Linked DNA regions of Pelodiscus sinensis. The protein of the gene in region 1 purifies or fractionates together with the protein of each later gene. This does not show direct contact. Links are inferred from orthologs where the notes say so. Each region holds a gene or a part of one and is shown on either strand. Other genes may lie near its edges.

What was found.
Region 2: the proteins of SLC38A9 (region 1) and LAMTOR3 purify together in Homo sapiens (affinity purification with mass spectrometry; 3 studies listed by BioGRID and IntAct, with this or other methods). This does not show direct contact. The link is inferred for Pelodiscus sinensis from reciprocal best matches to the Homo sapiens genes SLC38A9 and LAMTOR3.

The regions. Positions count from the first base shown.
Region 1 is NC_134716.1:96,826,435-96,842,453, reverse strand, and holds the start of SLC38A9 (neutral amino acid transporter 9), read right to left. Parts: upstream 5,877-16,019; 5' UTR 5,679-5,876; intron 5,660-5,678; exon of another isoform or gene 5,425-5,659; intron 2,723-5,424; exon of another isoform or gene 1,935-2,722; intron 1-1,934.
Region 2 is NC_134715.1:23,352,086-23,367,858, reverse strand, and holds the start of LAMTOR3 (ragulator complex protein LAMTOR3), read left to right. Parts: upstream 1-8,637; 5' UTR 8,638-8,911; intron 8,912-10,607; 5' UTR 10,608-10,650; coding exon 10,651-10,659; intron 10,660-12,258; coding exon 12,259-12,293; intron 12,294-14,094; coding exon 14,095-14,153; intron 14,154-15,142; coding exon 15,143-15,276; intron 15,277-15,773. UniProt on the Homo sapiens protein: As part of the Ragulator complex it is involved in amino acid sensing and activation of mTORC1, a signaling complex promoting cell growth in response to growth factors, energy levels, and amino acids.

The DNA.
Region 1 (16,019 bases):
TTAAAAGCATTTGTGGAAAATCATGCCAGTCTAGACATAGCCAGGGATTCCAAGGGAAAAAGCTTCAGGGAATCACTGACCTAATGAAAAAGCCTTTGATAAGATATAGGACAGCTGTGAAATGCCAGAGAAATCCTATTTAGGGCTTTTCACCCAAGAATTTCAAAGCATATTACAAATCAATTTTGTTAGCTATATCTACACTAGTGACTTTACAGCTATAAGATCTTCTGTGTAGTTATTAGGGATATTAAAAAGCAGAGGAGAGGGGTTATAAACATGAAACTGCTGAAAATTTCAATAGTTACACATTTACATCAAGTCCAGTTCCCTGCTCTCATAGTTGTTCATTGCTGACAGAGCAAGCTCTCCCATCAGCATAATTAAATTCCCTCCCACAAGTGGTAGTAACTATGTCCACAGGAGAGCATCTGCTGACATAATGCTGTCCACACTGGTGCTTCTCTTAGTGCAACTTATGACAGTCAGGGGTGTAGTTTTTTCCCCTCCCACACAGCTGAGCAACATAAGTTGTACTGACAAAAATGCTAGTGTAGATATAGCCTAAGTTTAGCTGTCAAGAAGCTAGCAATTTATAGAAAGCATGCTACATTGTGAATGTCTCACTTCAGGAAGAGTACTTGGTGAGATAACTGGCTGACAATTGTGAGTGATATGTGAACTTGTGGTAAGAGATGGATGCTGTTGATCAAAAACCTGTGGGTTGTCTGAGAATTCAAAAGGGTTTTATTGTAAACTGTGCACATGATGCTTATGTGAATTATATGCTACAGAAATACCTGGGAAAGTTTATAATCTAAAGTGTCCTAGGACTGCCTTTCAAAATGGACGGGTAATATTTGTTAAATATTTGAAGTTAATTTCCTAAACCTCACAATGCCACGGGTGAGTTCCAAAAAGCTTTAATCAGTTCAACTGTGCTACAAAGCTATTACTCCATGTCTACAGCTGGAAAAAGTTTGGGCTTCAGTAGTATGTGTAAGATCACTGCTATAGGGAACAGATCTTTGTACTGGTTGATGCTTAGCACTCTTTTGTGTGTTATTGCAGGCTATGTCTACACTATGGGGGTTTTCTGAGATACAGGAGGTATCCTGGAAACACTCCCCTGCATCCAGGGAACACGTCTGTTCTTCCGCTTTTTTTGTGGAAAAGCAGACACTCTTTTGGAAGCCCTGTCTTCCTCCTTCCACGAGGAAGAAGTGCTCTTCCGAAAGAGGAAGAAGGGCTCTTCCGAAAGAGGAAGAAGGGCTCTTCCGAAAGAGGAGACTTTTCCGAAATCTGGCCCAGTGTAGACAGGCCAAATTTCTGAAGAGTCTTCTGAAAAAACTACTGAGGAAAGGTAGGCAAATTGCGCTTCACAATTTGCGTACCTTTTTCCGATAAATCACCGTAGTGTAGACAGCCAAAGTGTTTCTTTATTTTATGTAAAGATGCCCGGTTGAGATTCGGTGTAGTGGACAGGGGAAGAGGTAGAGTTTGAACCCCATATCCGGCACCCTGTAACTTGAGTGCGTGACTCATGACTTTTGTACCCTAGGAAGTTTCAATCTGTAATGAAAACAAATCATACAGTAAACACAAACCTTTGAGGCCATCTTGAGGAATCCTAAATCAGAAGAAAAGGTAAAGTCTTTTTCTCCTAGCTTTGGATCAACATGGCTTTCAAGTTAATATGTAATCAAGGTGAAATGGTTGGTAGTCTGCAACTACAGTTAGCTGGAGATAGTTTTCTTTAGGTCCTATCTGCACTGGTCTAAAAACAAATACTAGAAACAGTATTTATGTATGTTTTAACACTCATTAACTAAATGGAGGTGATACGTAGAAGCCATAAAAAGGCTGGAGTAATTGTCTCCTGCCCCCAACAAACCAAGCCTGAAGGAAGGACCCTAGAGTGCAGGAGCTCTGACCTAGATGGTACCAGCAGGTGGAACACTAGCTGAAAGGTGTCGCTCCAGGGTTGAAGAACCAATTCCCAAATTGACCAGCAGGAGGTGATATGGGAGTAAGTGCCCACCCTGTGACAGATACAAAACTGTTAGAACAGACATCTAACCTGGGTAATACAACCACACAACAGAACAGATAGACTTAATGGTCCTACTCTTCCTGAAGACTTGTAACAACAAAATTCCATTAACACTCAGTTATTTCTGCAGGAATTCTGTGCCACTGTGCAGCATAGAAATGTTAGGTGCACATAATTTCCTACTTTCCCCCACAGAAATGGTCTGCAAAGCTATTGAACACCATTAGGGGCCACAGTATCCAGGAGAGCCCAGCTCCCAAATAGAAGACAAGACTAGGGGGAGGATCTTGGAGGACTTCCCAACAGGTGCAGTTCCCAGCACACCCTGAAGGAAGGAGTAGTGCACAGGAAATTCCATGGAGACATAAGACTCAGCTGCTCCCTCTGGATCCCTGGGAAATATGGGACATGGGTGTGTGAACTGAGGGAAGGAGCACCTGAGCTCTGGGGGTGTTAGTAACTCATTTGGGAGGGCAGCAGCTGGGGAAGGGAGGAGTGAGAGCATATTGGCAAGGGGGGGTCCCAGCAGTTGAGCTCTGGGGACAAGGGAGTGTCTCTGGGCCATGGGAGGTGAGGTGAGGGCTGAACATGGGAACGAATGTGTGTGAGTGTGGGCCAGGGGGGAGGTAGGTTGAGGGAGTATGAGTGTCTGGGCTTGAGGAAGGAGGCAGAAAAGTAGTGGGGTTAGGGGCAGGATTGTTTCTATCTCTAAGGGAATTTCTGTGAGTATCTGTATTGTTACAGACTTACTTACTGACAGATATTTTGAAATAAAACTCTAAATAATTGAAACTGGAGTGATTATGCAGTGTTATTTTGACACAAAAAAATTGTAAAATTTTAAAATGTGTACAGAATTTAAAAATTTTGGTACATAATTCCCCTGGGAGTAAGAGGCGTCCATTGTTACAAAAGCTCTTGAAACTGTGCATATTATGTTAAACAGTTTTCTAAGATTCCCTAATGTAAAAAGGCCCATTATGGTTTGTCCAGTCTTTATGAACAAAGCTAAACTATGTCAGAACTACATTTTAAACATATTTAAGGCATGTCTTTTTAACACACTTCAAATATGACTTGTGAGATTTGGTTTGGTGGGTTGGCTTTTAACAATTTAGCTACTGTACTTAAACTAGTTTCCTAAATTCTGTTCTTTGACCAGTTTTGAATTTGGCTGGAAACCAACCACAGATGGCCCAGTCTGCTTAAACATAACTCCTATTAAGAGATTTCATAGCATTTTTATAATGAAATAAACTTGTAGTTTTTTAATGTTAATGGCAGTAGTCAGATGAAATTGGTACAATCTACTCAAAAGAAACTGAAGTATTGACAAATTATGATGCATCATTCCTAACTAAACCATTTCCAGGCCATCTCACTGATCACAGAACATAATATATACTGGATTAGTGAAAGAAAATACTACATAAAAAGGGTGTAGACGAGGTATGTTGGATATCGGGGAATTGAATAGTTGAACAACCGCATGAATTCTTATTGGTTACTCGACTATTCTATAGTCCCCAGAGGTGGGGCCAGCAGCCAGTGCGCCTACTCCCAGGGAGCCCCCTTCCACCCTGAGCTGCTGCATTTGTATCAGAGGCAGCAGCAAAGGGTGCCAGGCAGGAGCCAGTCTGCGAGGGAAGCAAGTTTAAAAATAAGCTCCCCACACAGACCTGTTACCCCACACTGCTGCCCCTATCTGTGGGGGTCCAAGTTCCCTGCAGACATAGACTACTGTGGGAGGGAGGAAAAGGGGCAGCAGCAGCCTCACCCTTGCTGCCTCTGTATCAAAGGCAGCAAGGGGGAGGGAAGCAGGAGCTGGCTTAAAAGCCAGTTCCCCCCAGCACCAGCTCCATAGTGCTGCCTCCCCCCCATCAGCATAGAGAGATATGGGAGGTTGCTGCAAAGCAGCTTCTGTCTGTGATGGGCCAGAGTTCCTTGTGGACAGAAGCTGCTCCACCTCCCAGGGAGCTGCTTTTGTCTACTGCGAGCCTGGGTCTCCCGTGGACAGGGGCTGCTGCTGGAGACCAACTTCCATGCACGGTGGGCCTAGGCTCACTGCAGACAGAGGCTGCTCCATGAGAGATGGAGTAGTTTCTGTCCAAGGAGAGCTCAGGAGGCAGCAGCACTGCGGAGCCGAGCTGGTGCTGAGGGGAACCAGCTTTTAAGCCAGCTCCTGTTTCCCTCCCTCTTGCTGACTTTGATACAGAGGCAGCAAGAGCGGGGGTTGGGGGGGGGGGGGGGGGAGAAGAGGCATGTAATCAACAAGATTACCCAGTAAGTAAGCCTAGACTTATTGGTTAAATGTATAGTCGACTACAAGTTGAAATCCCTAATGCAGACTCCAAGGAAGTGTATCTGAAACAAATCAATAAATGTGGCAGTAGTCAGCCAATGTATCTTAGCCTAAAATAGAATGATTTGAATGTGTAACTTACCTAACCTTTTTAAAAACTCAAGATTCTGCAAATATTACTGGACACCATCTGAAAAGATTTTTTACAAACTACATTCAATTAAAAAAAAAATTCTTCTCCACAGACCAACTCACAACTCGTACTACCTTCCTTAGGGTGAAGGGAAATAGCAGAATAGGCAACATCTGGATGATAAGACTGATTTAAACTCATCAATGTGTGTTCTGTTCTAGGGTCTGAATGAGACAGAGCCAGGAAATGCACTAGCCACTTCGTGGACCCTCAAGTCTTTTAATCTCTCCAATGCAGCTTTTACATTAGATGTAGAAGATATCAATCACTTAATTCTAGATATATAGCTATCATAGCTAGCTTAAATTTTATTATGATGTGATAGAGCACAATCACATTCATTTTCATTACAACAGTACATACAATCTCTACAACTTTGTGTAAAAAAGCACTATGTGTAAAACAGGGCAGCCCTGTTAACAGAGATATGTATCATATGCTGTAAGTCACACAGTTCAGAGCATTGCAAGACTTTATGGCTATCACAATACATGCTGTACTGTTCATCAATGCAGATAAATAATAAGCTCTATGTCACTGTTATATATATATACACACACACCACAAAATAACAAAAACTTAACTCTCCACAACTTTGTGGCTATAGCCTAGTTCAGTCCAGTTTAAAGTAGTTTCATGCTGACCACTGCTTCATTTAAAGATACTTCGTTTCCAAGCTTTGTGCTCCAGCTGTCATTTCCATGTGATACAAGATCTGTTACCTACAATTCTAAGATAGTCACTGCGACTATTAAACGTGGCTGTCACTTTAATCGCAGCCGCCAATGAAAAGCAATAAAGATCTACGGTGAAATGCTAGCCCCTCTGAACTCAATGGCAAAACTCCCCTGCATAGCAGTGGGGCTCGGATTTTACCTTTCCTCTGCATATGGAAACAGCTACCTGCCACGCTACGCTCCTCTCCTCATAACTCTTTCCCCTGGCCTCCGAGGGAGGATTTTGCCAGCACCCTGCAGCCAGCGCCCAAAGCAGGGTCTACGGGCTGGGGGCAGCGATAACAGGCTGTCTGTGTCTGGGTAGCTGTGCTGGCCCGAGGCAGGAGCCCCCCACACAGGGCTCCCCGCGAACGGCAGCGCCGGGCCCAGCACGCATCAATGCGAGAGCTCTACCTTCAGCAGCCGGGACCTGCGCTCCACCACAGCTCCCTCGCGCCCGCCCGGCCGGCCGAAGTCCAGAGCCCGGCGTTTCCGAAGCGCAAACAGGAAGGGCGGGGCGGGTGCCGGGGAGCGCGGCTGGAGCCCAAAGGGCGCGCGGACTCGGAAGTTTTCACTGGAAGAGTCTCTCAGGCGAGCGAAGGGAACGCTTGCTTCCGGCGGACTACAACTCCCAGAGAGCCTTGCGCTAGGCTCTTCCCGGGCCCTCTTCTAGGGGAGGGCAAATAGCAGGATTGAGCGACTACCTACATCTCCTAGAAAAAAAACCACACTAAAAACAATGAAGTGGGCTGTGCCCACGAAAGCTCATGATACCATCTACATGTTGTGTTAGTCTCTAAGGTGCTATCAGACTGTTCCTTGCTTCTGTATGGTTTTTTCAGTTGCAGACGGACACTAATGCAAACCCCTCTGAAACTACATCTCCCAGAGTGCCTTGGGCGGAGAGCCCCGTCCCCTCCGCGCACTGAGCGCCCAGGCGGGCGTCCACTTGTCGCTGGGCTGCCTCACTCAGTGCTCTGGAAGGGAGCTAGGGGGCTAGTGGGGCTGGAAGGTGCCGGCAGCAGAGGTCCGCGCCCTGCCCCGCCCCACACACAGACTGGCAGCGATGGGGGACAGGAAGCAAGGCAGCTGCAGTTGTTTTGTGCCTCTCCGTCCACTCTGCATTGGCTCAGTTGAGAGAAGAGGTGGGACCTTGAGCGGAGAGGGGTTGTCCTAGCCCAGGCATGTCCAAAGTCTGGCCCGCGGGCCAATTGCAGCCTGTGTTCCGGTTTAATACGCCCCCCCAGGTAATTTGGCAATATCTATCTTTTATGGCCCCCAACGAATCCATATGTATTGAGATGAATACATTGTAAAATCTCAGTTAATGTCAGTTGGTCTAAATCAGTTATAAATATATTTGGACACAACATGTATAGTTGGTGTTATGTTCCTGTTCATATTTTTTGAACTTAAAAGTTGACAGACAACCTTTATTACCAATAATATGTAATGTACTTTACAATGTTCCTGACATATATTTCAGCTTCCTGGAATTTTTTTTCATCTGGCCTTCAGATATGAAAGGCAGAGTGATTTAACACCTGTTTAGATTTGTCATCCATGTGATGAAATGAAAAGTATGCCGTTTGCAATAAACTTTGCATAAAATAGTTAATTTGTATTTAGTTTTAATGGTTCAAAGAATGTCAGGCAAAATGGTCGGCCCTCACGCATGTTCACTTCATCAAATCTGGCCCTCTTTGAAAAAAGTTTGGACACCCCAGTCCTAGCCCTTCCCCAGGTGGGTGGGTTATGTGGCCTGGGCGCCCTGAGTTCACCCTCTGTAGGCAAGAGACAGAAACTGAAAACCAGGAGATCAAGACCGACATGGTGGCATAAAAGATATTGTACTGTGCACTGCGTAGTCTGTGTTGTAACTGAAATCAGTATATTTGAACATGTAGAAAAATATCCAAAAATAATTAATACATTTCAATTGATTCTGTTTCTAAAAGTGTAACTAAAATTGCAATTATGATTAATTGAGTTAATTGCATGGGTCAAATGGTCTTAATTGACACAGTGCTAGATTACATTCAGTTTTAAGCTTTTAGAATATTTATCGATTTTTGCAGCTCAGTGTTTAAAAGTTTTACATTTAAATTTTTATAGTTGTTGGAAAATATGGATAGGTTGGGCAATAAGTATATAAGAACAGAAGATGCTAAGATTTAAAAAATTAAAGTTGTATAACTATTAAAACACAAACTCAAGATCACATTGGATGGTTACAAAAGAATTTCAAAACCCAATTACAAAGGGAGACAGCTGAATGAGTTCATTTGCAAAGTCAGTACAATATAGGACGGAATAAGGATTTAATTGGTTAACACACTATAAAGGCAGTTTCCCCTGTTAATAGTCACATCTCTACACCAAATGCCATGAATGAGCAACTTCCACTCTAACTTGATTAGCCTAATGAACACAATATATACACCCCTACCTGTGTGACTTCCACTTCAGTTCATCTGATAAAATAGGTTTTACCCATGAAAGCTTGTGCCCTAATAAATCTGTTCATCTCTAAGGTGCCACATGTCTTCTTGCTGATTTTGCAGATACACAATTAACACAGCTATGCCACTGAGACTTTTTTAACATAGACAGGATTTAACCATCTTATTGTAACAAGTTTGGTGTCTTTAATATTTCAACATTACACTACATCAGTGGTTCCTAATCTTTTAGATACAGGGACAGCAAACCCAGTCACAAACTTTTGGCGGACCAACAACATTTTATTTGCATATTCATTATACAAATGATGAACATGCGACTGTGCAAATAAAATGTTACCGGTCTGCCAAAAGCCCAGTCCCCAGAGCCCCCAGTGCCAACCCTATCCCTTAGAGCAGGGTTTCCCAAACTTTATATAGTTGGAACCCGTTTTTTTCTGTACCTTTTTTTGCGGCCCAAAAATATAAACGCATATTAAAAAAAAAGAAAGAAAAATGAATAAATTTTCACAGTTTATTATTTATTCACAATAATAATAGTACATAATATAAATCTTGATATAAAATACTTAAGTGACTAACTTATTGTTATTACCTTAATTACAATTTAACCAGTAGAATTTTAACAATTGTAAAATAGTGATAGAAATGTAGCCGTGTTAGTCTGGTGTAGCTGAAGCAAAATACAGGACTATGTAGCACTTTAAAGACTAACAAGATGGTTTATTAGATGATGAGCTTTCGGGGGCCAGACCCACTTCCTCAGATCAAATAGTGGAAGAATTATCACCTCTAATATCATTAGCTCACAGACATTTACCTCTCTCCCCCCCTCCCCCGCATCCCCCTTCTGTTCTAAAATTTGATTTGTCCTTTTCACATGTGTTCTTTTTTTTAATTGTATCCTTTGGTATATATAGTTGTGACTATTTTCTTCCACTATTTGATCTGAGGAAGTGGGTCTGGCCCACGAAAGCTCATCATCTAATAAACCATCTTGTTAGTCTTTAAAGTGCTACATAGTCCTGTGTTTTGCTTCAACAATTGTAAAGTTTGTTTATTTATAATTTAATGAATTGAATATAAGTCATTTATTATGTGTACACTTTATAGCTTTTAAATAACTCAAAAGAGAACTAATTGAAAGGGTGATGTTGTTTTGCATCACATAGCAACTTTTTGTCAGGAGCAAAAGAAGAAAGTTTTATCCTCAAATCTGGTTCAACATTCAATCTACTTCTGTATTTATTTTTGAAGAAAACCAAAGACGAGAAACTAGTTTCACACTTACATGTTGTGATGAAAGGCATTAAGAATTTGATTGCTTTCTCAGATAAATGTGAATATTCATTTCTACAACTCAAACCAAAAATCAATCAAGGAGGCTGCGTCTAGATTGGCATGATTTTCCGGAAATGCTTTTAACGGAAAAGATTTCCGTTAAAAGCATTTTCGGAACAGAGCATCTAGATTGGCATGGACGCTTTTCCGCAAAAGCACTTTTTGCGGAAAAGCGTCTGTGCCAATCTAGACGTGCTTTTCCTCAAAAAATCCCCGATTGCCATTTTCACGATTGGGGCTTTTTTGCGGAAAACAAATCTGAGCTGTTTACACTGGCCCTTTTGCGCAAAAGCTTTGCGCAAAAGGGACTTTTGCCCGAATGGGAGCAAAATAGTATTTCCGCAAGAAGCACTGATTTCTTACAGTAGGAAGTCAGTGTTTTTGCGGAAATTCAAGCAGCCAGTGTAGACAGCTGGCAAGTTTTTCTGGAAAAGTGGCTAATTTTCCGGAAAAACTGGCCTGTCTAGACACAGCTGGAGAGTTTAACAAAGATCTCTTTTAAGGCAGAGACACAGGAAAGTTCAATTAATGGATCCACTTCTGATGCATTCAATTGTAATATTTCTTCATTTTTGGTGTCAACAGTAAACAGGTTCTTAATCCACATTTTACTGGTGTCAATTGGAGGAAAATATTCATTTAAGCTTGATGGTAGCCCCAAGAGATGTTCTTTGATTGTTACAGAAATCACATCTGAGATATTAGTTTCAGGATATTATTCTTGTAATTCAGTTAAAGTACAAAAAGATTTAAAGTTTCTCTTGCTAACTCCCTATGTCCATAAACAAAAAATTTTTAATTGTTGCCTCAATTTTTTTGTGAACTTTGAAAATATTAATTTTAGTGCCTTGTAAATTCAGACTTAACTTATTTGAAAGACAAAATCTGTCACATAAATAAGCCACCATTGTTAATCAATCAAATTCATGAAACCTGTGTTTAAATTTAAATATAGCATCTTTTGCTGATGGAGAGTGTTGCTCCAAGAACAATAAAACTTCATCCTTCATTTCAAAGAGTCATTTCAAAATGTTTCCTTTCGATAGCCATCGAACCTCACAGTGTAATATGAGATGCTCATGTTAACTTCCTAATTGTTTGCACAAAGCAGTAAAGATTCTGGAATTCAAAGGTCAAGATTTTATATAATTTATAAGCTTCACACATTCTTGAAGAGCTGAACTCAAAAGAGATGGCATAGTTTTCACAGATAGTGCCTCTCTGTGAATACTACAATACACTCATGCACAGTCTGGCGCTACAGCTCGAATCCACGGGACAAGCCCAGTGCAAGACCCTGCCATTGCTTGAGTCCCATCACTGCTCAGTCTAACCAGGGCCGGACGGAGGCATGGGCAAGCCAGGCAGCTGCCTAGGGCGCCAACCCACGGGGGGCGCCTCATGGCAGCTATAAGAGGTGCACAGCATCCCGTGCAGCTGCCATCAGGAGCCACGCGCCCGGCTCCCGCAGCGTCGGACAGCAGTGCCCTTGCCCCTACGGCTGCGGGGCTATGCACGGCCCGGCGCGTGTGCTAGCAGTGCTGCCCTGGGCCGGGATGGGCAGCATATGTGCTGTGCACCCCAGAAGCGGGCCTGCGCATCCTGGAGGGGGGGCGGGCCCGCGCCCCACAGGCAGGCCTGTGCATGCGCCCTGCGCCCGGGGGAAGCACCACACGCCTGGGCCCAGGGTGCCAAAAAGGGCTCAGGCCAGCACTGAGTCCAAAATATTTTTTCCAGTCAATATCGCTTTGAATAATAAAATAATCGATTAACTTAAAAATTTTGTCAGCCATTGTTCTTGTTGGAAGTGGCTTACAAAATAAGAGATCTTCTTGAATGGAGATTTCGTAATCATATCTAACAAAACACATCAAATTTGCAGCCTCTGCTATATCAGCGCTTTCATCTAATTGTAATGCAAAGAACTGACTATTCTGTATTCGACGTACAAGAGTTTCATCAGTATTTTTTGCCATCTCTTCAATTTTACGTTTCACTGTATTGTTGGATAAAGACAGCGAACCCAACTGATTTCCTTTTTTTCCTCCATAAATACGAGATGTAATAATATACAATTCAGGAAGTATTAACTTTTCGTCAACAGTATGTGGATAACCTGTCTTGGCTATTAGTTTTGAAACTTCATATGAAGCCAACAAAGTTTTCATTTGAAGAGCACATAGAAAGTGCACTTTTCATGCTTTTTTTAGCAGAATATAATTCATTTTTCTTATTTATGAAAAAATCTATGGGCTTACTTGTGTGTATTCTGGATGTTTGCATTCCAAATGGCATTTCAGTTTTGATGGTTTCATGCACTCATTGGATAGTTCTGCGTGACAGATTATACATAATGGCAAATGATTATCACTACCAAAACTTATAAAACCAAATTTCAAATACTTGTCGGAAAACTTGTGGGTCCAAAAAGTTTTTCTCCTCTTATCCTCACTTGTATTAGGCTGCACATCATTTGAACATTTGTTAGTTGTATGTCCAGTCACATTCTTCAGCCATTTATCCATATTGAAGATGAAAACAAGAGTGTATTTAACTGAAAATAAACGAAGAAAACTTAAGCAGTTAACCTAAAAAGATGTATACATTGTCGCACCACGCAGAAACAAACCGAGACTGCTGTGTCACGTGACACAAAAACCGATGACACAGACTAAGCCGCATGAAAACGTGTGCGCATCACACGGGAAAATACTAAATGTACCAAATTAATAGGATTGTGCGTGATAATTTGTATATTTTCTAAGGACCGATATTTTGTTTCCAAAGACCAGTATTGGGTCTATATTCAGGATCACACTTTGGGAAACGCTGCACTACATCATTAAGTAGGTTGCAGGTTTTTTTGTTTGGTTGGTTTTTTTTGGTAAGGTAACAACAAGGGAAAAGTGTTGAATAGGATTTCCAGGCTGATCCAATTCATTTCAAACCTCAGCTGAACGTAGCACCACAAGAAAACTGTTTCTTTTTCAGTGACTATTACTACTTTAACTTTTGGTGGTACAAAAGAAAAAGAGAAGTTGATTGAGCAATCAGTTCTTGCAAACTCAGTGTTGTGGTTTAGAAAAGATGTGGGGGAGAGGGCGCAGGAGTTATTCTAAAGTTTGTGAAAGGATCAAAGTTGCAGATGCCAAAAATGATTCACATGCAAAAAACAAAAATGGAGAACAAAGTTTTCTCTTGATCACATATAAATTATAAGAACATAAGAATGGCCATACTGGGTCAGACCAAAGAAAGGGGCTTTTTACTTTTAACTTCTGGAACAAAAGTAAAGATATGCTGAAATTTCCACCTTGCCCTACCAGTGTTCCTTCTAAGATTTTCCATCCACAAGCGGAGAGAGTTTTGTCTTGTGCATCAACAATGAGGTCATGTGCGCTTGTTCAGATGTGTGGCACTCACCAGTGGCGCTGCTCTCCAAGAGACTCTGACAGTGGCCAATGCCAGATTCCCCAGAGGAAGTAAGCACAAAAGTTAATCATCATGTGATCCCTCTCCTGTCATCCATTTCCAAACAAACAAAGGCTAGAGACACCATTTCTACTGATCCTGGATAATAGGTATTGATGGACCTAATCTCCATGAATTTATCTAGATCTTTTTTGTACCTTATTAAAGTCCTAGTCTTCACAACATCCTCTGGCAAGGAGTTATATCTCAATTATTATGAAATCAGGTAATTTGAAATTGCAATTCAGCATTTATAAAACTTTCAGTGTCTTTTCCATTTACAATTTGTTTTTTCCTAGATTATGCCAATTTTCAGTATTTTAGTAATATGTTATTTAGGGAAAAGCAATTTTTGGGAGGTAAAGGGGACCATGCTTCTTAGTTCACAACTGTTCAAGTCACCATCCTGGCATGAAGAAGAAGTTTTCACCAGGTGCAGTAATGATAGTTCTTCGAGATGTGTGTCCCTGTGGGTGCTCTACTGAGGTCTCAGTGCATCCTCGCACCACTGATCGGAGATTTTTAGTTAGCAGTGCCTCTTGCACCACGCCTGCGCACCTAGTGTCTCTCTCCTTCCCCCCGCTGTTTGTGGCGTGCGCATGTGGTGCAAGTCCCATCTGTTCCTTTTCTACCTGAAGTCCATGGAGACTCCAAGCAGAGGGGAGGACGAGAGGGTAGTGGAGCCCCACAGGGACACACATCTTGAAGAAGCATCGTTACTACACCTGGTGAGTAACTTCTTCTTCTTCAGTGAGTGGTGTCCCTGTGGGTGCTCCACTCAGGTGACTCCATAGCAGTATCTGCCTGATGGAGGTGGGCACTGGCATCTTTTTAGTTGAAGAAGGAAGGACCATATCTGCTAGAGATGTGAAGGGTATTGGCCCCTTCTGTAGGACATAGTGCTGTGTGAAAGAATGTTGTGAGGACCATGTGGCTGCCCTATAAATGTCCACCAATGGTGCATTGGTCAGGAAGGCCGTTGTAGTGGCCATCGCACGTGTACAGTGAGCCCTGATGGACTGTGGTGGCTGTTTGCCCCTAAGTTCATAAACGGTACATATGTAGCCTTGAATAGGCACTGTGCCAAAACTGCTGTTCCTGTGCGTGGTCCTGACCATGCCACAAAGAGTCTGTCCGATTTCCTGGTTGCCCTAGCTCTATCAACATAGAATGAAATTGTCCTCCCTGCATCCAGAGTATGTAATATAGCCTCCTTGGGGAGGCAGGAGGTTTGGGGAAATAGGCAGGTAAGTAAATGGGTTCATTTATGTGGAAGTCAGATATAACCTTAGGGAGGAACTTGGGGTGAGGTCTGAGTATGACTTTATCCCTGGTAAAGGTAGTGAAAGGTGGGTCTGCCATGAGGGCCATGATTTCTCCTTCCCTTCTTACTGATGTTATTGCAACTATGAATGTCACTTTCATGGAAGGTATTGTGGGGGTGTAGTGGCTAGTGGCTCAAAGGATGGACTAGTAAGAGTGTCAAGGACCAAATTGAAGTCCCACAGTGGTACCAGGGGGCGTAGGTTTTGCTGCATTTTCTGTTAACCTGTGAGAAAACGCTGCACCATGGGATGTGCGAAGAGGGAGAAGCCATTTACCAGGTCATGGAAAGCTGTATTTGCCACCAGGTAGATGGTGGAAAGGCTGATGGAGAGGCCTTTGTCGCTAAGGTCCATTAGGTAGTCGACTAAGGTGCGTATACAGATTTTAGTGGGATGCAAGTTGCGCATTGAGCACCATTGTTGAAAATATGTCCATCTGTTCTGATAGATGCTTCTTGTGGCAGGATGCCGACTATTTAGTAGGACTTGTTGGACTCTGTCCGAGCAGGTGAGTTCTTCATTTTGGTACCATGAAGAAGCCATGCCATAAGTTTCAGAGTTTTGTTGTTGAGGTGGCATGTGCTGCGTAAGGAGGTTTGGCACCATTGGGAGAGGGATGGGTTGATGTATCAACAGGTAGTGGAGGTAAGGGAACCAGGATTGTCTCGGCCAGGCAGGGGCTATTAGGATTACTGTGGCCCAATCAAACCGAATCTGGTTAATCACTCTGGGGATAAGAGGAACTGGTGAAAAATGCAGAGTAGGGGAGCTGTCCAGCGAATGGGGAGGGCGTCCCCTTGTACCTCTTGCCCAGTCCTGCCCAGGAGAAGAATCTGTGGCATTTGTGGTTATGAGGTGTTGCAAAGAGGTCTATAGTCAGAAAGCCCCATTTGCGGAAGATTGAGAGGACGATATTGGTATTGATCTTCCACTCGTGCTGATCTGAGAAATGTCTGCTCAGTTTGTCGGCTCTCACATTCTGTTGTCCCGGTATATGCATGGCTGTTGGAGTTATCTGGTTCCTAATACACCAGTTCCAAAATCTGATTGCTTCGGCACATAGAGAGTGGGATCGGGCATTCCCCTGTTGATTGACATAAAACATAGAAGGTGTGTTCTCCATGAGGACATGGATATTCTGCCCATTTCCAGTGGAAGGAAAGGGCGCAAGCCCTGCAAATGGCCCTGAGCTCCAGGATGTTGATGTGGAGGTGTCTCTCGTGTTGGGCCCATGTATCCTGTATTGATGCCACACCACAATGGGCTCCTCAGCCCATGAGTGATGCATCTGTCATTATGGTGACTGAGGGGTCTGGCCAGTGAAAGGGTATGCTGGCAAGCAGATTGACTGGAGATGTCCACCACTCTAGAGACTGCAGTACTGGTGGAGGAAGTGTGAGATGCCTCGTGAGGCTGTGTCGGGTTTGTATATAGTTGATTGCGAGCCAATATTGAAGGCATCTCATGTGTAGCCTTGCAAATAGGACTACAAACTTGTGGCAGCCTGTGATGGAGGGGGATAGAGCCTGTCTTCCACCGGAGGCCGTTCAGCACCCTGGTCAGCAGTGTGGATCGTGGAGAGGGCCTCCAAGCAGGGCACAAGGGCAGCCGGCCCTGCAGCCAATCAGGGTTCGGCAGCCTGGTATATAAGGAGCTGTTGAGTAAAGGTCAGTTAGTTCCTTCCTGGAACTCAACCTGGCCAGAACTCTGGGCTGCAGGGCCAGCTTCAGGAAGTGTGGAGCCCAATTCGAACAATTTCGATGGGGGCCCCACAGCAATTTTGGTTGAGCAAAGAAAAAAAAAACAGCACACAAAAAATCCCCCGCCAATACCCCCCCTCCCGTGGCACAGGAACACCTTGCGCTAACTCACAGGCAGCCTACGCACTCCTCCTCTGGGGCTGACACCCCCACCCGCAGCGTGCCTGGCAGGGGCGGCAGGTTTGTATAATTTTTGGTGGTGCCCCATTAGCCACACCCCCTGACTCGTTAACCATGCCCCAATCCCTATTAGACACACCCTTTGACCCCCATTAACCAGGCCTCTGGAGGTAACACGCTCAGAGCAAGATGGACACATGACCAGAAGTAAAAGGTGTCATGTCACCCCTCTCGAAGGACTTTTCCCACCATCCTCCTACCAACAGGGATTAGTTT
Region 2 (15,773 bases), on another chromosome or scaffold:
TTATTGAGACCAGGGTAGGCATTGGGAAAGCATGGGTATACTTCCTGTAGAATAAAGACCTGCCTATCTTAAAGGTGATGTGCAAGGATTCTTTTAAAGTTAGCTATGTGTCCTTTTTTTTTTCTTTGTAATGTATTTGAAAAGTAAAAGCCTGGTGGTTTGAGGGGGCTTTTGTTTGTTTTTTGTTTCTTTTAATTTATGGTTAAAAATATCAGGCATGTCAAGTCTCTTCTTTGGTTTTGCTGAAGGATCTTCTGGGTAGCTCAAAGTATATTTCTTGTGAGAAAGATGACAACCAAAGGGGTAAATATCCTTTATCGAAATGTTCATTAGTCATAAGTTAAATATTATACCAAAACCAGAGGTTTTTAAGCAGCCTAACTAAAAATCCCTGCACTTTCCAGCTGCTCAGATTTTATTCTGGTCTTTTGTGAGTCAGTTACTCCACTGGTTCTCAGTCATTGTTGTTTCCCAGGGTTAACAGAACCTGAATTTCTCAACTGAAAAAAAAAAAAAAAAAAAGCTGAGAAAAATCTTTTAACAAAACAGATCTTGGTAGGCCAATGTGATGTATAGTAAAGAAGTAAAAACAACCTATTTATTTCCTTTGCAAAGTGACTCTGAAAATCTCCCCATAAAATAACATCTGTTTTAGTCAGGGTAGAACCCTGTTTTAATACCAATTTAAGGAAATATATATTTTGCACATTTAGTAAACATTTCAGTGTAAGTTCTGCTTTCGTAAAACTTAAGTGCATTTCAGACTTTTAAAAGACTTATTTGTAAGATAACAAAAGACAGTTTATAGCCATTAAAATACAGTTAGCACTTTATTTGAAATGGACACAGCTTAAACATTTTCTTCTGGAAATCTTTGACCTACTGTTGTTATAAGTAACAAACCTGAATACTGTTGTTGATTGACTGGAAAACACAGTATCTATTTTTCAGGTTTATTTTGTAGTAGTTTCACCGATTCCCCTGAATAGTCAGTCAGTTAGTGTCCTCTGTGTGGATTTTTCACAAAGAAACAAGCAGAGGAATACATAGGAAAATGTGATAGCAAAACCAAAACTGGCAGGAAATCTCAAAGGTAAGATACATTATTTGAATCTTTTGCCCTTTTCATTTAATTCACGTAGGCTTCAAAGTGACTGTATCTCTAACAAAATTTAGATAACTACATGGGGGAAGCATGGTCTGATGATAGAATGAAGACTGAGAGTCAGAAGCCCTCTACCCTTTTCTACCATATATTTACTCTGAGGGAGCTAGATGAAAGACACTATATTGTGAATGTAGAATATTATTACCCACATTTAGACAGCTGGACTGCAACCTTCTCAGTTTTTTTCCAAAGTGAACAAACATAACACTCCACAAATATATTGTAAGTGTAATAGAGATATTTCATTATTTAAACCCCCTATTTTCATGTCCCTTTAGTAATTGTGGTTCACTCTAGCAGAAACGAGAAAATCTGGAGCTCGGATTTCTCAGGACTTTGGAAGTAATTTTGCTGAAAATGCAGTGCTTAACAATTTTATGTAGCCATATACTCCCCCTTTCCTCCTTAGGACTTGAGGTTGCAAGCTGACTCCCATACACAAAATCCCTGAAGCTGCTTTCATTGAAATCAGTAGCAAAATTTCATTTAATTGAAGTCAATGGCAAACATACCATTTATTAAATACTGGGTACGTATGTTATACGTATCCACATATGCTGACAAATTAAGGTACTTTCTGAAACTGTTAGATACAGGATATGTGATGCTTGTATAAAGAGAGTATTTCAGTTTAGTAGGTGACAGTGATGCAGTTGTTCTTTGGGAATGTCACTGGAACTCAGAGGATAGGGGGAGGGAGGGAAGCAAGTGGAATTAACCATTTTCAGGATCAGGCCCTTAGCAAAGCCACTGCATTTTACCTTTAAATCATTCTTGATGTACAGTAAGGAAGAGTTTAACCTTAAACCTCTGTTTACAATTCACTTCCATTCCATATAAGCCATTTTAATTATACCAGAAGCTTCCATGATCTGTTTGAGGCAGTAGATAGCAGTTGAAGATTTTACAGCAAACCTAACTCTCTGGGAGTTACTTTAATAGCACCAAATCAACTGTCTTAAACTATGTTCCTATGATTATTTTTGGGAGGGGATGGTAGGTGCTCAACTTTTATTAAAACTAATCTGCTTTTTTCATATTCTGCAAGAATATTTTGTCTCTATTCCTGACTTGGTTTGTTTGTTTGTTTGGGTTTTTTTTACACATAAGTCCAAATGTTCAAAAGTATTCACAATTTGTTGTGAGCTGGATTTCGCAGAAGAGCTTGGCTCCTATTTAGACACTTAAAGTAGTCAGATTTTTCAAAAGTTCCCAAAACTCAGCAGCTCCTGTTTAGTACAGCCAGAGCTGTTGGGTGTTGATTACCTTTGAAAATCTACCCCTATGGTCTTGGGGGTTTTGAAGTTGTTCTTTGTATTAAAACCATCTAAACTGGCAAAATACTGAATATTCACAACTACTGTTTGTACATTATAAAATACCGACAATCTTGCATTACGCAACTTAATTTCCCCCTTTGCATATGGTATGTAATACATATAGTGTCCTGCAAATCCATAGTCGTATGATCCATGCACTTGCAAATACTAATGTATGCATACACCTATATATCTGTAAAATGCATTTCCAGGAAATGGGCATTAATGGGAAGTAGAAAGTAAGTCATGAACTATCTTGACATGGTCTATGAGCATAAATACATTTTAACCTTCTTCTCTGTTACCTTTCATGCATTTCCTTCTCCAAATTGAGCTGTTCCTCCAAAAACAACTAACATTATTGAATTTCAGCTAAAAAAAAGTTAATCCATTCTTGCTTTTGGGGTATTAACCAATATAGCAGAAGTGTATAAAATCTTATGAAAATGGATAAGCTTTCCACAATACTTGACGGTTGTTAATTGACAATTTTTCAGTTGTGCTTCTTTAAAACAAATGAAGCTTCGTGATGGGAATTTTCACTTTTGTCCTGACCAAGTCAGCCTACCACTTGAACTGTGGGGAGTGTAATCCACTGAGTACAGGCAGTCCCCGGGTTACATACAAGATAGGTACTGTAGGTTTGTTCTTAAGTTGAATCTGTATGTAAGTCAGAACTGGCGGTCAGTTTCAGCAGCGGCTGAATCTGGACGCCAGTTCCGACTTACATACATTCAGCCGCTGCTGAAACTGACCGCCAGTTCTGACTTACATACAGAATCAACTTAAGAACCCCAAGCGTCCCCAAGTCAGTTGAAATTGATCAGCAGCTGATTCCAGGAAGCCCGGGGCAGAGCAACTCTGCCTCGGGCTTCCTGTAGCCCCCCCCCTCACTGCCCGAGCCCCCCCCCCCCCCCCCTCCCGCGGCTCTGCAGACCAGGGAGACACAGAGAAAGCCCCAGAGTACACGGGCGGCAGGACCGCGAGGTCCCGCAGTCCGTGTACTCTGGGGCAGCCCCGTTCGTAACTGCGGATCCGACATAAGTCCGGGACTGCCTGTACCCTGTGGGAAGCTTAGGTTCCATGATCAAGAACCAATACAAGGTTCCCTTTCTTCTGTTAAATCTGCATAAGCCATGGAGATGCGTTTTTTTCCTTCCACATAGTGGAGTAGAGGAATTGAATGAACACAATGATCAGTATGTCAAGTTTTGGATTAATGGAATAAATTGCTTTATCTACGTTTCTAACCTCAACAGTTTTAGCTGTAGAAGTTGGAAGTGGGGGGACCTCATAGGAAAAACTTGGGAGAAGGAAAATGAAACTCATCCTTTTTGCCTTCATGAAGATCTAGTCTGTGTGTTTCAGGGAAAGCAGGTGAAAATAAGACCACTTGGTATCCCCTCTTTTAGATGACTTTGTAATCTTGAAGGAAAGTTTCAGGTTTAAGACTCCCATTTTCTGTTTGGTTACTCACTATTAAAGATAAGAATTTTTTTCAATGTGTTTAAATAATTTCCCTTTTAAGCATGTTGAACAGAAACATAACATATTCCTTATATTAAGGGTTATGTGATGTGTGTTTTTAAGGCTTCTTTGCATATATAATTTTCCTGGCAAGTACATGATTCCTTTTCACTAAATACCAAGGTTTGCTGGTCTTGGGACCACTAGACTTGTGAATACTGTGTGTGCATGTCTATAGGTGTATATATTTCTTTTCCAGCTAATACCTCAAACTTTGTGATAGTTTAATATTGTACCACTGTAAATTTGCACAGAACAGGGCTTCCATTAGGCATTACAACTATCCATCCAAATTTGAGGGTTCTGGTGTAACTAATCTTTAAATACTTTTTCCCCCAATATGTGGGTAAACATTCTCATTAGAGTCCGTTTTTAAAAGAAAATGATAGCCTTTTGCGCTTCCCAGAAATCTGAAATCTCACAAAGTAAAAGCATTTCTCAACTTAAACTGGGGAAGGTAGTTAGAAATGGCTTACATTTCAAATGACGTTTCTGAACTTGCTGCTGGCATTGGCTGTATGGTCAGTTGTGAAACTGACATTTGGAGAATGTAAAATCATGGAAAGCTTTAAAAATCTCAAGGAATTTAAATGTTTGTTCTTTAGACTTTTAAAAAGCAGTGCAATATGGGAAATGTGATTAGGCTTTGCAAATCATGTTCAATACACCTAATAATGTAATGGAAGCCTTGCAAAGGAAATCTGGTGAGATGAAGGTGGTATCTTAACAAAATTCTTATTTTGTTTTGTCTAACTCTATGGCATTTCCAAGATGTAAAGGTTAAGTTTAAAGAGACTTGCCTTATTTATAATATCTAATGTAATATTAGACATATCAAAATAAAATTATTTTCAGTGTGTAAATGTGCAAACATCTTATTATTTACATGTTAAAGAAAACTTTAACTATTCATTCTAGTTTTAAATTCAGAGGCTTGTGTTTTATTTATGCTCAGCTCATGTAGATACTGAACTAAGAATAGGCACATATTTGATCTTATAAGATAAATTATTTCTTTTTAAGACAAAGTTATCTAGCTACTAAAATATTTCATCTTAAATTCTTATGTATTTGGAAAATATTGCTGGTTTGTTTTATAAATTAAGACTTTTCTGCACAGCCATTAATTACCATAAGGAAAACTGCCTACTTTCAATAAACGTGTTTTCCTTTCCCCTGAAAAAAACAACTTTCAGTCATAAAGTGTATAGTATCATGAGCTTTTGTGGTCACAACCCACTTCTTCGGATGTCTGAAGAAGTGGGTTGTGTGCACAGAAGCTCATGATACTATATATATAATTTTTTAGTCTCCAAGGGTATGTCTACACTAGTTTTTTTTTCTAAAAAACTTCAATTACATCCACACTGCAATCGCGTTCTTTTGGGAAAAAAATCGAAAGAACTGAGAGGTTTTTCCGACATTGGTTAACCTCTTTCTACAAGGAAGAAACCTTTTTTCGAAAGAGCTCTTTCGGAAAAAAGCGTGTGGGGACAGGAAAGAGGGAGTTCTTTTGATTTTAATAGGGTCCATATTTTACCCCTAATCCTGCTCATTAGTTATGCATTTGTTACACAGGGACCTGGGTCGTCAGCATCTGGGACCTTAGTGTCTAAAGCCATGTGCCTCTACAGCTTGAGCTAAAACCCAACTCTCTCTCAGCTAAGGCTGTAGAGCAGCCTTCATTCTCATTTGTCCGTTGTTCTCAGTGCTTCTGGGTTACATGTATGTCTGAGTTTAACGTTAAAAATGGCATATGATTTATTATGGTTCTACATGTATCCTTTCTTTATAAGTAACAATGTTCCTCTTCAAATTAGAAAAATAAATAAGTAGCACAAGCACATATGTACCCCTCATCCCTTACAATTTTATATTAGATCCCAACCTGGATTTAATATACTGTATGTCTACAGTTTATATAATTAAGACACATAAGCTACTTTATTTAAAAATGAGTGAACAGCAGTGATAATGAAAATGAGCTACTCAGAAAAGTGGTGTACAAATAGAGTTCGCTATTTTGGGGAGATTTTTTTTAAAAAAAAAAATCTTCCTGGGAACGATCATGTAAACAGCAAAAGTCTGAACTTATCAGAAATGACAGGCTCAAACAAACTCCATTTGGATATTCTGTTCTTGAGTACTAAAAGAAGAAAATGACTTAAATCTTGCTGAGAAATTCATAAACTGATAGTAAACTTCCACTCTTGTCCTGATAATCAGATAAAAATTAAGTAAACTGCATCATGCATTAGGTTTCGGTAGGTCCTTCATTCTGTGATTTTTTGCACCATTACAAAAGTTACAGGGAAAAAGGATGCACTCTGAAAAATATCACCATCTTCCTCCCCAAGATTCATCTGATGAAGTGGGTTTTATTCAGGAAAGTTCATGAGCCTATGTATTTTTGAGTGGTCCCCAACCTTTTGGGGCTGCCAGGCACCTGGGGGTGGGGCCATTCACATACCGGGCACCCAAGCCGCCCAAACGCTGCACTACCGGGGCCGGCGCTGCTCCTGTGCCATGTGCCCAGGGGCAGACATGCCCAGGAGTCGGCAGCACCCATGCGCCGCGCACCTGGGGCCGGCACCACTCCTGTGCCGCGTGCCCAGGGGCAGGGACGCCCATACACTGTGTGCCCGGGGCCAGCACAGCCTATGCACTGTGCGTCTGGGGGCGGAGCCGCCCATGTGCTTCGCGCCCGGGGCTGGCACTGCCCTTTTGCCATGTGTCCGGGGGCGGGGCCAGCCCCAATCACTTATTGGGCACACTGTGCTGGGGAGCACTGCGTTGGAAACCACTGCTCTAAGCCCTGGTCTACACTAAGGAGTTACTTTGAAATAACTCCCCATATTTCAAAATAATAAGCGGAGCGTCCACATTACCAAGCCTATTATTTCAAAATAACAAGCTGGGTATTTTGAAATCTGTACTCCTACTTTCCATACGGAGAATACTTATTTTGAAATATTTCAAAATAACTAACTACTCCCCAGAGTAATTTGAAGTAAGTATTTCCCAGTACTTCCTAGGGCTCTAAGACGAGGTAGCGTATCTACAACAATGGAGCCTGCCTCGGATTAATTTTGAGGCTCCTGTGTGGTCGGGGACATGCTATTTTGATTGTTATTTTTGGAGTTACTTTTAATTATTTTGAAATTTCCTACTGTGGACATTAGGGATGTTAAGTTGTGATTAATTAGCTAAATGAGTAGTCAATGGAATTTCCAATGCCTACTCCATTAGTCAATAATGAGGGGGGCGCTTGCTACCCCTGCTGCAATTCTGCATTTTAAATGCAGTGAGCTCTTACTATATTTAAAATGCAGAGCCGTAGCAGTCCCAGGGCTGGCATGAGCCAAGACTGCTTAGTCCTGGCTCGTGCTGGTAGGGTTGCCAGGTGTCTGGTATTCACCTGGACAGTCTTGTATTTTCTCCTCCTGCCTGGTAAAAAAAAAAATTCAGACTATTAGACACCTGAGATGTCTAGTATTCTCTGAATTTTTCCCTGGCCAGGAGGCAAAAATGCTGGGCACATGGCAATCTTACAAACACTCAGTGCCTGGCCTCCCACTCCCTCGCATCCCCCCAGCTCCCAACACCCCTAGCCCCTCTGACTTCAGCCCCCATGCTTACCTGGTTCCCCAAGGCTGCTGGCACAAAATAGCTACTGGCCAAAAGACCTAAGGGAAGCAATCTTCCCCTTGGGTCTTAGTGCTCAACCACTTCCCTGTTCCTATCCATGCACTCACCCTTAAAGGGGACATGCTGTTTTTGGGCTTAAGTCCTTGGAGTCTTTTTTTGGGGGGGTTGGGGGAGCCAGCAGCTTTGGTTTCCCCTCACTTTCCCCTCTCTTCTCCCCCCCCACAGAATTTTTTCCTGGTGGGTTTTTTGGGGGGGGGGAGGAGGGTTGGTATTTTTGTTTCAATCATCTTGCAACCCTATGTGCTGGCCCCGGAAGCTACCCCTGGTGTGGCTCTGCAAGTTCTTACTACAAAGGCAGAGCCCGTAGCAGGGGTAGCTTCGGTGTGAGCCAGAACTAAGCACACTCTTCCCTACCCTTATGCAGCACCGAGACTCAGCTTTTAGGCATGTTCCTCACAGCACCAAGGGAAGAAGCAGAGTCATCTTGATTACCCACAAACACAGGTCATGTAATCTTTGTCACTGGAGATATTTAAGGGTGGGTTGAATACACATCTATCAGAGCCTGGCTAGACTAGGGTTTCCCAACCTGTGGTCGGGACCCAAATATGGGTCACCAAGTCTTCCTCACTTGTGGAAATGGATCCCCATCTGGAAAAGGTTGGGAACCGCTGGCCTAGAGACGATGCTGGGCCCTGAGGCAGGGGCCTGGACACTCTCCAGCCAGGTCCCTTCCAGTCCTAATGGTCTCTGGTTCCAGCCCTAGCAGACAGGCCCCCCGCACTGCCCCGCCCCCTTAGCAAGATCCCTGCAGCACCAGCACCGCCGGCTTTGCGATGCCTGACAACCAGGGCTGGGCGTAGCTACGGAGCATGCTCAACAGCGCGAGCTCCGCAACAGGGTGCGCGCGCGCCTCTGGACGCCTCCAGGGCCCGGCCGCGGCTCAACGAAGTGCAGTCACATGATCGCCTCCGCACCCTCTGCGTTGGGGCGGAAGCGGGCAAAGACGCCGCCGTGGTTGCGCGCTCCCACTCGCGTTGCCCTGTCACGGCTCTCACGGTCGGGCATGCTCCGTAGCTACACGGGAGACCGAGCTGACGCTACAGCCGGAAGTGACGCCGGCAGGGGTGGGTGGGGCGGGAGGTCTGTGATTGTTTCGTGCGTGGGGCATCACGTGATCGAGGGCTAAAGGAGAAGCGGCCGCTCGCTGCCTGGGCTGTTGTTGCGGGGGATCCCGGAAGCGACCAGGGTAAGGGAGCAGGGGGGCTGTAGCTAGTGTTATTGTAGGGCCTACTGTATTGATTCCTCCCTCTATGCGGTGCGGGGAGTCGAGCTATAGGGGCCCGGTCGGGCCCGCCTCCCCCCAGCGCCGCCACAGCCCACGGCGCGGCCCCTTTCTCGCTAGCCCCCCCCTCGCCGTGCGGGAACGCCCGGGCTTGAGCGTCTCCCGGCCCCCCGTAGGGTCAGGTAACCCTGGCCCAGCCTGACCGGTGTCTGTCCCGTCTGTGCTAGAAACCTGCAGGGAGGGGACCTTCCAGCCTGCTCTGGAAACCTGGCCCGGGTCTCCGCTGCCCCGTAGCCAGGCTGCCTTCGGCCCGTTACTGCTTCTGCTGCTCTTAGAGGATACAGACAACGATTGATCTCAGTCCCTCTAGCAACCCTTTTCTACCAGCCCCCACCCTCTTTTTCTGTCAACAGCCCCAAGCTCCTTGTGTGTTTTTTTTTTTTTAAATCTTTCCTCATAGAACAGATTTTCCTCACCTGTCCCTCCTTTTTTCCTCATGTAAGATTGTCAGTGCTTTTGCGGAAATACTATGCTGCTCCCGTTCAGGCAAAAGTCTTTTTCCAAACAACTTTTGCGCAAAAGGGCCAGTGTAGACAGCAGAGATTTATTTTCCGCAAAAAAGCCCCGATCGTGAAAATGGCGATCGGGGCTTTTTTGAGGAAAAGCATGTCTAGATTGGCAAGACGCTTTTCCGCGAAAGCACTTTTTGCGGAAAAGCGCCCGTGGCCAATCTAGATACGCTTCTCCGAAAATGCTTTTAACAGAAAATTTTTCCGTTAAAAGCGTTTCCGGAAAATCATGCCAGTGTAGACGTAGCCAGAGAGAATATCAAGAAATAATGTATACTTACCTTAACCTCACACTCATTTCCCCCCCCCCCTTTTTTTTTTAGCGCCCAATCCCTGAAGCTAGATTTGCACTACAAACCTACATTGGCATAAAAATGTAGCTCAGGGGTATGAAAAATCCACATCCCTATGCCATGCAGTTGTCCTCTTAGCATATGCACATCATGCTTCAGGTGGCATGTGACCAGGATTAATCACCAGATTTGGTCTATTGGTTGGCACATTCACTAACCTGGCTTGGTTCAAATACTGAAGGGGATTCTGATCCTTAACCCCCATCCCACGTGATGCAGTTATAACAACCTAACTCTTGGTGCTGTCTGATAGTGCTGTCTGAGAGCTTCTCCTGTGAACATAGCTACTGCTTTTTATGGAAGTGGATTAACTTTGTGGACTGGAGAAGCTCTCCTGTCAGCATAGTAGGACCTTAACCTAAAATACTACATCTGGACAGTTGTGCCATTGTAGCTTTTTAAATGTAGACTTGCCCTGAGACTCTATCTTATTTATGCAGCTTTTGATCCATGATTGCCCCTGGGACTACTTTTGAGGAAGGCCCTCTGGAGAAGGGCTTGTGTGCATCTTGTAAGACATTTTCTTTTAAGAGCAGTTCAATGCCCAGAACTCGCTCTCTTGGGCAGGTGCCTTGGGCATTATATTCTTCACGTTGGCAGAGGAAGGAAAGCTAGGGAATGCTAGAAATTAATAGGGATGTTGCTCCCTCCTTAATTTTATGTGAGACTAAACAAAAAAAGAGAAAGAGAGCAGATAAAAGCTTATGTGCATGACTATTGTTGGCTCTTATTTTTCAGGAACTTTGACAGTACATCTGATTTATTTAAAAAGTTTCAAAACATGGCCGATGTAAGTATTTTGCAAATATGCTACCTGCCCTAAAAAGCTTACTTTACAGACCCATCCTATATGCTGATCCATATGGGCGTGCCTTTATGAAGCCTCACTCAGTGCAGTGGAACTGACTTATGGCAGTAAAGCTATGCGTGAGTTATGGGGTTGCCAGATGGTTTAACCAAAAATACTGACGACCATCCCCCTCCCCCCCCCCCCCCCCAAAAAAAAACAGAGGAAAAAATTCTGTTGGTGGGGAAAAAAGGGGGGCGGCAGGGGAGACCAAAGTTGTTGAGCAAAAAAAGGGGGGGGGCCCTGAGAGTTAAGCGCAAAAAAACAAAAAAACCCTGCATGGTCCCTTTAAGAACAGGGGCTGGGCTCTGCCTCTCTTAACAGGCTGCAGGTATAGCAGCAGAGTGAGGGCCACAGCAACAGCAGCTTTTGCTGAGTATGCTCAGTTGCATAACACATGCTCAGTACGCCCTAGGTATGACTTTCTGAGAGGCAGCTGTTTGCGACGCTACTTCGGCCATCTTCTCTGCCTTTTCTCCCTGCTTTGGACCAGACAGCTTCCCTGCAGAATGAGGTATTCGGTGGGGGAAGCAGGCAGGCTGGGCCTGGTTGCTTAGGGTTGCCAGGTGTCCCTTATTTTCGCCCCCTGGCCGGGAAAAAAATCAGAAAATACCTGACATTTTAGGTGTCTGGTATCTTCTGAATTTTTTTACCAGACAGGAGGCGAAAATACCTGATTGTCTGGGTCAATACTGGACACCTAGAAACCCTAATGAGCTAAAGTATTTGTAGGACTAAGTCCTTAGACATCTATAAACACTTTGAAAGGAAAATAGGCCTTCACTGTCTGAGAATGACGTTTCAAAAGCTTCAGGGGGTAGCCTACTTAGTCTGTACAGGATAAACTTAAACAACAAATAATTTGTTAGTCTTTAAAGTGCTACCAGAAAATGTAGATGGTATCATGAGATTTCTTGGGCACAATCCACTTCTTCAGATGACCAGAGTGTTGGATGTCCAGAACTAAATGACATGATTATGCAAAAGGAGGGAGAATCTGCTCTTTGGTCAGTAACATGTGAAATAATTATAGCTGGAAGATGCTAAAACAAAGTTCAGATGTGCTGGGACATGCATTTGTTTCAGCAAATGTATTCAGATGTTCAAAACGCTATGTAGTTAGTGTGTTAGCATGAAAGGTTATATTTAAAACACTTCGGGAGAAGTGTGAAATGCAATAGTGTGCTTGCTGCCATTTCACTTAAATGTACTTTGGTTGGTTAACAAACTATGTACATTCTCAGAGCTTCTGAAATGATTAACAGAATTAAATGAATAAGTAATATAAGTTCTATATATATGCAAATTCTGGAACACTGGCTATTTTTATATAAAAGTACCAAAGAAGGTGTTTGGGGGTTTTGGTTAGATTATAATTAAAAAATGTGTCTCAGTACAGTTTTTAAAAAATACTTGGTGGTAGGAAGAAACAGAAAGTTTTAAAAAATGACATGAATAGTTTCTATTGTGATAAAATTGAGACTGTTTTATACATATTTTGAAAATAAAACATATTTCATAACTTTGTTTTTTTCTTTATAGGACCTGAAAAGGTTTCTGTACAAAAAATTACCAAGGTAACCTAATTATCATGCTACAGTATTCACTTTGTACTGTGTGCTGTTTTACAATTAATGTATGATAACATTTATTTGGATTTTAATGGACTTCAGTGAAAGTAATCCAACAGATTGTCCATACTGTCTGGATATTTTTTTTAAATGATATATTTAAATTTATAGGTTCCTATTGTCCAGGGGTGGGCAATAATTTTTGGCAGGGGGCCATTTCAAGATTTTGGAAAGTGGTCAAGGGCCACACTTTTCTGTGGAGGGGTGCAAGGTCTAGGATGAAGATTGGGCACAGGCGGGCGCATGGGGTAAGGGACATGGGTGCAGGAGACAGTGTGAGGTCTGAGAGGAAGTTTGGGCAAAGGAGGAGGTTGTGACCTGGGTCAGGGAATAGGGCTCTTGGGTCAGTGAGGTGGTTTGGGTGCAAGAGAGGATTCTGGCCTAGGACAGAGGCACTAGGAGAGAACGCAAAGTCTGGGAAAGAGCTGTGACCTGGGAGAAGAGGATACACACTACAGATGGTGTAGGTGGTGACTTGGGGCAGGGGATTGGGGTGCAGGATCTGGGAGGCTGTATGGGTGCAGGAGAGGATTCTGGCCTGGGGGAGGGGTGAAGCAGGGTGGGGTACAGGCTCTGGGAGGCAGTTATGGCCTGGGGCAGGGGGGTGCAGTGTGTTTGGATGGTGACCTGAGGGAGGGAGTTGGGGTGCAGGACGGGCAGGGTGCCAGAGGCAGGCTCTGCCTGGGAGGTGCTTTTTTAAGCCTTCAGCACTCCCAAGGCAGGCTGGACTCCCTGCCTGCTGAAGCCCCAAATCACTTACAACTGCAGGCTGCAAACCCCACATGTGTCTCAGCTCCAGGATAGGGAAGAAATTTGCGCTGCTCCCATCTGCCAGGTCAATCTCTCAGATCTTATTGGCTAGTTGTTTCTGGCCACTAGGAGCTGAGAGATTGGCTGGGGTCAGTTCCTATTGACCAGTAATTTCTGGTCAATCGGAGCTGAAGATTGGGCTGGGGGTGAGGAGATTGCAGGAAGCCTCCCCCTCCCTGCAGAGTAGAGAGATGCATGGAGTGAACTTGAAGCTGTGTGCCTGAGGGTCCCGGCAGGGGCAGTCCGCAGCCGGATCCAGTGGCTTGCAAGGCCAGATTCAGCCCCCTGGCTGTATTTTGCCCAGTCCTGCTATAGTCTGAACAATGTTTATCTGGCTGCAAAAATCTATCCTTTGTTAACCCATCTTCTAATAAGACACTTATCTTGAAACTTAGTACATTGTATTTTTGAGTGAATTAAAAGTCAGTTTAAAAAAAACCTATCCATCTCTCCATTCCAAAAGAAGGACAATATTCTTCATTTTAAGGGAATAGTGTTTTAAAAAGGCTCTTGTTACTGGAATAACTCCTGTATTCAAGCAACACGTCCTACTGTCTTTCTGGAGACTTGGCAATTCTTGGTAGTTTCCAGTTTCTCAGTACCGTAAGTAGCTAGGCTAGGTCAGTCATTAGCACCATTAAATCATTGTGCTCTGGAACTGCGTGCAAATACCGTGAAAACTGCACTTCCTGGAATAGCAGTTCCTTTTCTGAAGCTGCAGGACCTCCAGACCTTCCAATATCATTCTGCTTGAACTTCTAATAACTGTCTGCCTTTGGTCCCTTGGGTGATCACATAACAAAAAGCTAGTTTAATGGTGGGCGCTTTTTGCACATCTCTCCTTGCTACTTCCCACTTTGGTATGTGTTTGCTGAATAAAAATGAACTGTGCTGCTAGCATGTCAGCTTGGTAAAAACAACACTTTGTTTTCTCTAGTGTTGAAGGTCTTCATGCTATTTTAGTGTCAGACCGAGATGGTGTGCCTGTTATCAAAGGTAAATCATAAGTCTGATTGTACATCTTCTGTATAATAATAGACATTTTTAATTGAAAGACAAAAACTGGCTTCCTAATAGAGACAGGACTCTCTTCCTCCTGTCTTTAGTTTACTGTAAATATTAGAGGTTGATCTAAGCATTAAGTCAAACATGCTGAAATTTGGGATGTTTTAACAAGGATTTATTGGACACTAAGTTATCTCTCTTGAGAGCATTCTCTATCTAGGTATATGCAGCGTGTTTAAAACCATAGTCTGTAGGCACGTCATGTCATATCCTCTGTGAAGAGAGTTGGAATCATGTAATGCGTTCATACCATAAAGCTGCACTCATATTAGTAGACAATGCCAGGATTGCTTTAGCAGTAGTTTCATCCTAAGACTGATATGACCAAATGCTACCCACTGATAAATGCAGCCATTTGCTGTTGACTTAATTCTGAACGTGTTTGTGTTGGGGGCTATGCTATCCTTACCTTACTTTTGATCAGTAACATGAGATGTCTTGTGCTATGGGCACAATGGCGGAAGTTAAGAATCCAAAGATTCAAGTTTCTGTAGATGGTTTTTGGGTCCCATCTCATTTACGGACGCTCAATAGGAGTTTCATATATAAGTGAACCTGAAGGCAGACCTATGACATGAACATGATCTGGGTGAAATGGACTGGGTCTTGCATGCTCCTGGAAGTGAGACAATCAAACACAACAGCATCAGCACAGATCATGGTGCAGCAAACCAGTGTATAGAAAATAAACGATCCTCAGGACATTAGGAAAGCTGGCTGGTGAAGTGGTGATGAAGCTATACAGAGTTATAAAGAGCTATACATGCATCTTCCAAAGCACATCAGATGAGATTCATTTTTGAGGGAAAGTGGGAAGCAGGTAAGAGCAGTTTTATATGGATGACATCTGATCTAGTTTACTGTTGCCTGATCCATATGTACAAAGATCTTCTACCAATGTAAAATATGTTTTGTTCCAGTTGCCAATGATAATGCTCCAGAGCATGCACTTAGACCTGGTTTCTTGTCCACTTTTGCACTTGCGACAGACCAGGGCAGCAAACTAGGGCTTTCAAAAAACAAAAGTATCATCTGTTACTACAACACATACCAGGTAAGAGATTTCAATGTTGTCTTGATCTATCTATTGGCCAGAATTATTCCTACCTGACTTAAAAAACAAACAAACAAACCCAACTCTCTATCCTGACTTTTCAAAGAGGTTTGATTAAATTTAAATATGTATTTTTTTTCCTAAAATACAAGAATAGCTTGTTATACTGATTTGTTTGTAATATGGATCGAAAGAAGCTTTTATTTCCTAGCATGAGTAAATGAGTTACTGGTTCAGGGCAGTACTTGAAGATCACTGTGTTCTCCAGCAGATGGTGCCTGTTGCAAATCCCTAATATCTACATGTCCTTGTTCTAAATTTGTATTTGTTGCTGGCAATTCAAAAATAATTCTTTTGGGGGAAAATGTTCGTGTTTTATATACATACGATCAGGAATAGTGTCTGGGCAAGGAAATTTACAAAACAGTTCAGTTTATAAAATTGATATTTTAACCTTATGTCTACTGAAATTCATCATCTTTCAACAATTTCACACT